Linked DNA regions of Macaca mulatta. The protein of the gene in region 1 binds, or shares a complex with, the protein of each later gene. Links are inferred from orthologs where the notes say so. Each region holds a gene or a part of one and is shown on either strand. Other genes may lie near its edges.

Region 1 (4,425 bases):
TTGGTGGGAGGTAGGGAAGGAAGATTTAGTTTCAATGCAATTTTATGAAACTTAATATAACCTTTACAACAATTCAGTGAGATGGAAATCTGGCATCAGGCATGTATTAGAGGAATGGAATGGAAGAACAGAAATTGAACCAGATTAAAACGCATCCTAGAAGTAACAGCAAATGCTTCAAGGAAGGCACTTACCAAAAGGCATACTATAACTTACTACATTTCATTAAGTCTGACAACCAGGGCTAAACCTGAATTAGAATATGTGCTTCTGGTATTGACCAGACTTTTCTGTATAAGGAATCCAGGCCAAACAAAATAACAGGCAAACTTTTGACACATCTAATCATAGTGAAAGCACAGGACATCCATCACTAGCTCTTCTAGTTAAAATTCCCACAAAAGAAGATGGGGAGTGGGGAATGGTTGGAAGAACAGGAGATAATACGCAAAGCAATGACAACACAAAATCAAAATTGCTTACAAGAATGTATGTTTCCTCTACGTCAGGGGGACAGTGTCCCTGAACAACACAGCCCATGTACTCACTTAAGGTAATGTGACACCTACTCACATCAATACATAGCAGAATTGGAAGTTTCACTGTCACGCGGTCCAAACCTATGACATATGCACAAAGTTCTTCTCAAACATCTCTGAAAAGCAGTCATCACTCTGTTTAATTACTTCCAGTGACAGGGAACTCAGCACCCTACAGGACTGTTACTGTCCCTGAGGCCCATTAACTCAAAAGTCTAAAACACATTTTCACCACTCAGGGAGCGGTGGAAGTGATCACAGGGCTATCCAAAGGGCTTGCCAACTCAACTGTGCCTCTTGTCTCGACCATTCCCAAATCCCCCCTTTCCCTGAGCAGGACTCAAAATTAGCACAGTGTTCATAAATCAGTGGTTTCAGAGTCAGAAGGGACCCTTACAACGCCAATACTGTGATATTCATACCACGGTTCTACAAAAGGAACCCCAGGAAGTGCTTAGGCCAAACTGGGAGGGAGAGTGTCCTGTTTCTCTTCCTCTCATTTCAGCCTAGGAAGCTTCCACTTTAATTTGTTATATATAGAGGACCAGGGTAGTTTTTTAAAAGGAGGAGGAGAAAAAAAAAGACCATTTACAGGTAAATAAACTGAGGTCTTGACACTTGCTTAATGAAATCATATAGCTAACAGTTGCAGGGTTCAGACAACAACCTGGTCTCCTGGCTCCTTCTCTGGTACTTTCTCTACCATATAACATCTGACGGCCTAGAGGGCAAAATTCAAACTCCGCAGTGATATACAAAGCCCTTTAAGATCTCTCCCGGTCCAATTTTTATGAGAGTCCCACATACCAGTCTCACTCAAATGTTTATTGAACCAACTTATATCAGACTCTTACACACCTCCACATCTTAGCGCATACTATTCTTTTAGCCTGAGATGCCCTTCTGCACTGCAGCCAACTAATCCTCTTTCAAGATTTGTTTTGGGCATCATCACCTCTATAAAGCCTTTTCTGATCCTCAGGTAGAACTGACCACATTCTTCTTTGTGCCCTACATAACACTTGCAAGGCTTTATGGCACTTGTTTTATGTCTATGTCCGTCTACTCCACTACTCCTTTTACATCATATTACTCTAACATGAGGCTGGTCAGAAAGTAGGTGCTTCATAGATGTTCATCAATAGGGAGAGTGTATTCATCTGGTCCAACCCCTTTCTGATGTTTAAGTATCCTCTGCTAACTGTCATTAATGCATGCATGCATACATTCATTCGAAAACATCTGAGTGTCTATGCAGTGCCAAGTGTATGCCAAGCAGAGTAGGATTTACTGTGAAATTAATGAGGTTTTAGCTTCGGGGTCCCTCACTTCCATCTTCCAAAGCTCTGAATCTCTCTTGGTGATTTTTATTTCTTAAAGACGGCAGACATAACTATAAAAACTTTCGGCCCCACAAAACCTAGATCCCTCCTTGGTGTCACGGACACAAAAGGGAACAAGACAAACATCTCTCCCCTCATGGAATTTTCTGTTTAACGGGAAAGACAGCCATTTTGTTCATTCATTCATTCAACAAACATTTACTAAGCAATGCTATGAGTCATGCATTGTGAGATGAAAACAACTGTCCCTGCCCTTAAGGAAAAGGTTCCTGTTCCCAGAGAAATGAAGGGACACCTGCTCTGATCAGGGAACAGAAAGTAGTTGAGATGACTGTAACACCGTGTTTGCGAAAGATGACCCTAAACTCGTCTCAAGAGGAACTGAGCCCTACTTATCGCGGAGACAAAGAGAAGAAAGAGTTCGGATGAATATGGTTTTTAATCTCATCTGGGGATGGGAGGCAGACAAGTAAAGAGCACAGGCAAATACGGTGTGGTCAGTTCTGCAACAGGAAGTGAAGGACAGTGAGGTTTCCCCTGAGTGCAAGTCTGTAGTGACGGCGAACTCATGACCTCACAAAGCCGCCCGTGCACTTTCCAGATAGAGATTTCTGAGGGTCTCCTTCCTCGTCCCCCAACCCCCGCCGCCGCAGGAGAAATCTGTTCCCCAATATGCGTCCCCCTTCCTTAAAATAAGGCTGTTCCTTCCCCAAAAAGCTGTCCGGTCTCTGAGGCCAACTCTCCTGTCCCCCTTGGGGCCACCTCCTTCACACAATGCTTATGGGACGGGGTGTGGTTTGGGGCTCGGGGTCCCTGTCGCAGGACTGCCCCCTCCTCAACCCGCCGTTTCCATAGCAACCAGCTCACCACTTCGCGGGCCCGGCTGGAGAAGTCGCCCTTGGGCCGGGGGCTCCGGCGGAACAGCTCATCCCGGCTTCCATCGACCCCGCCGCCCACCGCCACTCCCAGCGCCTTGTTCCGCGTCTTCACGGTCTTGACGCTGGCCCGGAATAGCAGCGTGATGTCCACGGCCATAGCGACCCGTACCCGCAGCCCCACACTGGGCCGGCTCACGTAAGCAGCCGGCGACCGCGGCGAGAACCCGGCCGCTGGAGGACTGGTCCTGCCCCGCACTCCTCCCCACCGGCAACTGCGATGCGAGAAGAAAGGTTCCGGCCTGAGCCCCGCTACCGCGGCGGGAGGAAAAAGATTCCGAACTCAGCGGCGCACCTGGCGGAGGAGGAACCCCGCGACGAGCTCACGGGCACCTCTTTCTCCCGGCAAAGCTTGGAGGGTTTAGCAGCGCGGAGAGCTCAGCGAGCTCTCCTGTGCTTTTTTGGGGCGTGTGGGCTCCGGGAGCGTGAGGACCGGGAAGCTGGGAGGCTCCTTCCCTTCTGGTGGCTCCCTCACTGAGAGCGGGCGGTTTGGTTGCGGGGGACGTGGAGGCGAGCCACCCTTGACCTTTGACTGCAAGGACTCACCTTGAGCAGGACAGAGGCACTTGGACGGTGACCCTCGGGGTGCAATAAGTGCTGAGACAGAGCAGATGTGCAAGGCATAGAGCTAGAGGCCAGAGGTCTTTCTTCTCCACCCTTCAGTCACCTCTTTGTAAAGTGAAGCCAGCATCCTCCTCGGAGTTTACTGTGAAAATTAAGTGAGCTGACGCGTGCTGTGTTTTGATGTTGCTTGGCTCCTAGTAAGTGGCCAATAAATGGTAGTAATCGTTAATAATATTATTATAATCACTCGTATTTGTGGTGATGGAAGAGGCTGTAGAGAAAAGGCGTCACCTGTGCAGAGATTTGAAGGATGAATAGGAACTTTAGATGGAGGCAAAGGTGAAAGAGTGGCCCTAATGTCGCTGGATTCTGTTCTTCCTTCATGCATAGTTTTTAATTGTACCGTCTTGAGCCATAGCTATTAAAATTGACAAGTCAGTCAATGAGTTTCTTCTGCATTTTTGGTTCATGGTTCTGTTTTGTGTTGTTTTTTGAGATGGGGGTCTGCTATGTTGCCCAGGCTGGATTGCAGTGGCTATTCAGAGGCGCCATCCTAGCTCATTACAGACTGGAACGCCAGGGCACAAACGATCCTCCGCGGCTCCGCCTCCTGAGTAGCTGGAACTGTAGGCACTTGCCACCATGGCTGGCCTAAGGATATTCAAAATCTCATTGATTTCTTCAAGATTTTTTTTTCCATAAAGAGGATGCACAAGTAGAATGTGTATTAAAATAGTGGTTTTAATGGTCAATATAAAAGTATTTTCATAATACTAAGATGTTATTTGCCTTTTCACTCTCACTTTCTCATGAGTTGCATACAGTTGAGTTTGCTAGACTGTGATATTGCAACGGAATAAATGCAGAACAGCTGTTTTCTATTAAGCCAGACTTCAAAAAAAAGATTTTCAAAAACATCAAAAGTTTTTAATTTCTCATATAGTGAATGTCGATAATGTCAATATAAACAAAAATTGTTTAGAGCCCTTAATAATTTTTAAGTGTGCAAAAGAGTTGAGACCAAAAGTTTGAGAACACTGTGTT
Region 2 (4,525 bases), on another chromosome or scaffold:
GCTGAATGCTTGCTGAATGCCAACCTTGCTGCCTACACCACAGTTCCTATGCCTAGAGATGAACATGCTGCCTGGGCGAAACAGGTGCAACAGGCCCACATGGGCCCTCGACCACTCATGCCAATCACCACCAGAGGCTTCCCCAGAAACACTGGCTCTGGGGCATCTGCTCTGCCTTGCCCCTTCTCCTGAGACCTTAAATATGCTCATTCCTTGGAGTTCCTTTTCCAGAGATACATCTGCTCTCCTGGTTCCAGCTGCACCCTTCCAAGATGCCCAAGCTGTTTCATCTTCAATCTGGGGTCTTTGCTGAGCCCTGGGCTCAACTACTCCAACCCTGACCTCTTGGTATCCTCCTCACTGGGGACACAAAGAGGGCCAGTCAGATCACTGCAAATCTCCTTACTAAGATATCACCCCAGGGGCCGTGCACGGTGGCTCATGCCTGTAATCATAGCACTTTGGGAGGCCAAAGCAGGTGGATCACTTGAGGACTTGAGGTCAGGAGTTCAAGACCAGCCTGGCCAACATGGTGAAACCTCATTTCTACCAAAAATATAAAAAACTAGCCAGGTGTGGTGGTGTACACCTGTAATCCCAGCTACTTGTGAGGCTGAGGGAGGATTATCGCTTGAAGGAGGTGGAGGTTGCAGTCAGCCAAGACTGTGCCACTGTACTCCAGCCTGGGCGACAGAGAGAGACTCCATCTCAAAAAAATAATAATAATTTTTAAAAAAAAGATATTACACCAGGGGAGTTCCTCTTCAGTGTCGCCCCAGGGAAGTTCCACTTCCTGACTTCTTGAATTCCACCTGTGGGACTAAGGATGTCCCTGTCACACAGATAGCAAACCTGCCAGTCAATTTGTGACTTCTCACTCTCCTTCCCTGGGCAGCGCCATTAGCCACCAGATCCCACGTGAGTAATGTCTTTATCCCCTATTGAACCCTAACTCCTCATGTTGACTCCTAGAAAACACGTGTCCCAGCTGGGCGCAGTGGCTCACGCCTGTAATTCCAGCACTTTGGGAGGCCAAGGCAGGAGGGTCACCTGAGGTCAGGAGTTCGAGACCAGCCTGGCCAACATGGGGAAACCCCGTCTCTACTAAAAATACAAAAATTAACTCGGCATGGTGGTGTCCGCCTGTAATCCCAGCTATTCAGGAGGCTGAGGCAAAAAGAAAAGAAAACGTGTCCCACAGTCAAGCCTAGGTCTTGTCTGGGGTCAATAAGTAACTTCTTATTGAATGGAAGAAAATAAAGCAGGGTGTTATAACCGGACTGAGCATCAGGAGACCTGGTTTCCTGACCTTGAGCAAGTTCTTTCTCTCTCTGAGCTCAGGTTCCCCACTTGGAAAAATCATCCAATTGGACTCCATGACATCTACAGGCCCTTCCTTCATACATCTGTCATCTAATACTTCATGAAACATTTGCTGAAATGTCATTTCTGAGAAAAAAAACCCACCTGGGTTTTTCTCATTCTTGTGTTGATGGAGTTATAGTTCTCATCAGCTTCCTCCTTCTGGGGCTCTATGGCTGTGGGAAGACACAGGGGTATTGGGGGTACTTGTCTCCATAGGATTTTTAGGGAAATATAATTTATCATAAAATGACTAAGGCTGAGCCTCCAAGAGGAGAAAGTAAGTTTATTTTTCTTTGCATTACATCACTTGAGTTCCCGTAGGAATGCAGAGGCCACCTAACAAAACCCCATCTCCCTGCCCAAAGAATGCCCAGTGGGCAGTGATAACTGTGTAAGTAAATGGTTTCATTGTAAATAAAAGAACCTGAGAGACTGCCTTGTGCTGTGGAGAGTACAATGGCCTGGAGGCCAGAAGACAGAGATGCTAGAACCAGGCCTGCTGTGTGACCTGGATATATCACTGGCTTCTCTGGGCCACACACTCCCCAGATATACCAACAACAGGGCAGGATCAGAGGGAAGGATCTGCCTGAGGTCCCAGTAGCTCACCCTTCAGCTGCAGGCGGATCTCCCTCCCCAGCTGTTTGATCTCGTCGCGCAGGTTCTGCAGCTCCTGCTTCATGCCTGAATAAGAGAAGGCCACGACTCCCAAACAGCAGCCCCCACCTCAACAAACCACCCTGGCCACCACCTGCGTGGAACTACAACCCCCACAATCCCTGGGGCGGAGCATGCGCTATGCAGCCGGGGTTTCACTCACTCTCCTCAGGAAGGGGCGTGGCCAGGATGGTGACCTGCTGTTTCTCCAACTCCTGGACTTTATTCCCCAGCTTGACAATAGTCTGCCGAATTGTCCGGACCTGGGGAGGGTGACCGAGAGGGCTGAAAGAGATATGGGGTACTCCAGACCACGCTGCTCCTCGGGTCCTCCTACCCCCTCGCGAATCCAGGCCAAGACTCCATCCCCTTACCTTCTGGAAGAACTCCTCGTCCGGGCTCCCCAGCCGTGCCGTGCCCGGGTGCACCACCAGCGCGACTCGCTCCTTGTCCTCTTCGTCCGAGCTGTCATCCCCCTGCCAGGCCCGGAGTCATTGGCACCACTGTTTCGCTGCGGCTGTCACCCCGCAGGACCCACAGGCTTCCGGGACTTTCCTTCCTGGCCATCAGCCACCCCTCCCTACCCCGAAGACCAGGAGTCCTGCGTTCCAGTTCGTCCGCGCGCCCCCATCCCCGCTGCCCTGGCGTCTCACCTGCCTCAGCTCGTGGGTCCTGTCCCGCATGGCGGCCTGAGCTCTCCCTCCCCGGCGTCAGACCGGGAGGCCGGCAAACTTGGAATACCCGTACCCCACTCACACTCTGACACTCCCCTCCCTCCCCCTGTGGACCCCAACACCCCCACGAGCCACCAGAGCCTCCGTCCCTTGCACCGCCCACAGTCAATGGGAAGGCGCCGACCCCGGGGACCCCCCAAGGTTCCACAGGTTGGAATTCCCTTTTCTTCCCCCCTCCAGCTCCCGCAGCCTCAGCCCCGCCCCTCCGTGATAAATTCGGGGCATGCGCATATGGTCGCGTCTCTTCCTCGCCCGAGGCGCGGAAGGTGGAGTCGGAAGTTGTTGCGCCCCGAGCGGAAGCGGAGCTGCGTGGACGCGAGAACTGGCTACCGTCACCGGAACCGTTGCATCTTCCAACGGAAATCTGGTTGCCAAAAGGGGTAGGAATACGTCATTTGTACGTAATCTGAGGCACCCGCATCTCACATCACCCCATGGTGCCCCCACCGCGTCACGTGACCAACCCGGTCCCAAACTCGTGGACCGCAGAATGTGACGCTGTGACTGTCACGTGTCCCGGCTCGGTCAGCGCCGTCTCTGGGACGCTGTTTTCATCACGACGTCCCCGGCACTCCGACCACCGAACGACGCCCACACGGCCCCCGCGAGGTGGGGAGGGGCGCGCCCACCACTCCCAGAGGCCTTTCGAGGCAGTGGGTGGTAGGACCCTTGCTGACTTCGCCTTTATTGCTTTCGGGTCCAGGGGCGTGGGCGGACTGACGACTTAGCATTTGGGGCTGTCAGCATCATGGGACCTTGAAAATCGGGAAATAATAGGATCCGAGTCGTCAGCGTCAGAAAATTGCAGGGTTGTGTGGGCAGGGAATCTAGGGGTGGAAATTGACCTCAGCCAAGGCAGAAACCTCTTCTTCCGCATCCTCCTGGCGCAGCCTCTGACAGGTGGGCAGCCAGCCGGCGCCCTCCTTGAACACTACAGCCCGGCTTCACTCACCACCTTGTGGGCTGTCAGACCATGTCAGGGCAGCTCAGGCTAAGAAAAGTGTCTCTGCACGCTGCCTTCCCTGCCACTCACACCCCCCAGACCCTGCCTTGCATCTGAGGCAGGTAATGACTTTGTTCTTAACTGAATCTGGGGAGTTCCTAGCTCAGTACCAAGCACATTACGGGCCCTCTATAAATACTTGTGGACAGAATCTTAGCCTTTCATGTATCTGAGGATGAAGACCCTGGTTCCTTGGCCTTCTTTAGGCTTCAGTCTTTCTGACTGTGACACTTCTCTAATCCTGGCTATCGAGATATTCACTCATTTTTTATTTTTAAAAATTTTTACAAGATGGGGTCTCACTATGTTGTCCAAGCTGGTCTCTAACTCCTGGGCTCAAGCAATCCTCCTGCCTCAGCCTCCCAAACTGCTGGGATTACAGGCATGCACCACCATGCACAGAACATTCATTTAATGGATATTTTTGGGCACATACTATGGGCCAAACACTGTTCTAGGGCTGGAGATACATCAAGGACTAATAGATAAAAATTCCTGCACTCGTGGAACTTAAATTCTCTAGAAGGAGTCCCCAAGGTCATTTAGTAAGTCTCAGCATAGCTGGGAATGAATAACGGGTCTCCTGGACCCCAGGGCTCTGTCCAGGAAGCTTCTGTGAAGGTACAAGCAAGGAAAGGAATGGACCCTTTCTGCTATGCCCTGGTCAGGAAACCTAGATTCCTGGGACTGGGTTGCTATGGACTTCTGGAAGTTGCTTCCTGTCTCTTAAGTGTCGATCTCCCTCTGCACAGTGGGTAACTTGGGG

Evidence for each region.
Region 2: STX18 (region 1) and STX4 share a complex: the UniProt entries of both Homo sapiens proteins name them as parts of the SNARE complex. The link is inferred for Macaca mulatta from reciprocal best matches to the Homo sapiens genes STX18 and STX4.

Annotation. Positions count from the first base shown.
Region 1 is NC_133410.1:8,445,435-8,449,859, reverse strand, and holds the start of STX18 (syntaxin-18), read right to left. Parts: upstream 2,936-4,425; 5' UTR 2,918-2,935; coding exon 2,750-2,917; intron 1-2,749. UniProt on the Homo sapiens protein: Syntaxin that may be involved in targeting and fusion of Golgi-derived retrograde transport vesicles with the ER.
Region 2 is NC_133425.1:29,670,288-29,674,812, reverse strand, and holds the start of STX4 (syntaxin-4), read right to left. Parts: upstream 2,975-4,525; 5' UTR 2,706-2,974; coding exon 2,676-2,705; intron 2,499-2,675; coding exon 2,397-2,498; intron 2,308-2,396; coding exon of another isoform or gene 2,286-2,307; coding exon 2,186-2,285; intron 2,050-2,185; coding exon 1,975-2,049; intron 1,539-1,974; coding exon 1,468-1,538; intron 1-1,467. Other genes in the region: uncharacterized protein LOC144337996, read left to right, coding at 2,980-3,136, 3,246-3,365. UniProt on the Homo sapiens protein: Plasma membrane t-SNARE that mediates docking of transport vesicles. Necessary for the translocation of SLC2A4 from intracellular vesicles to the plasma membrane.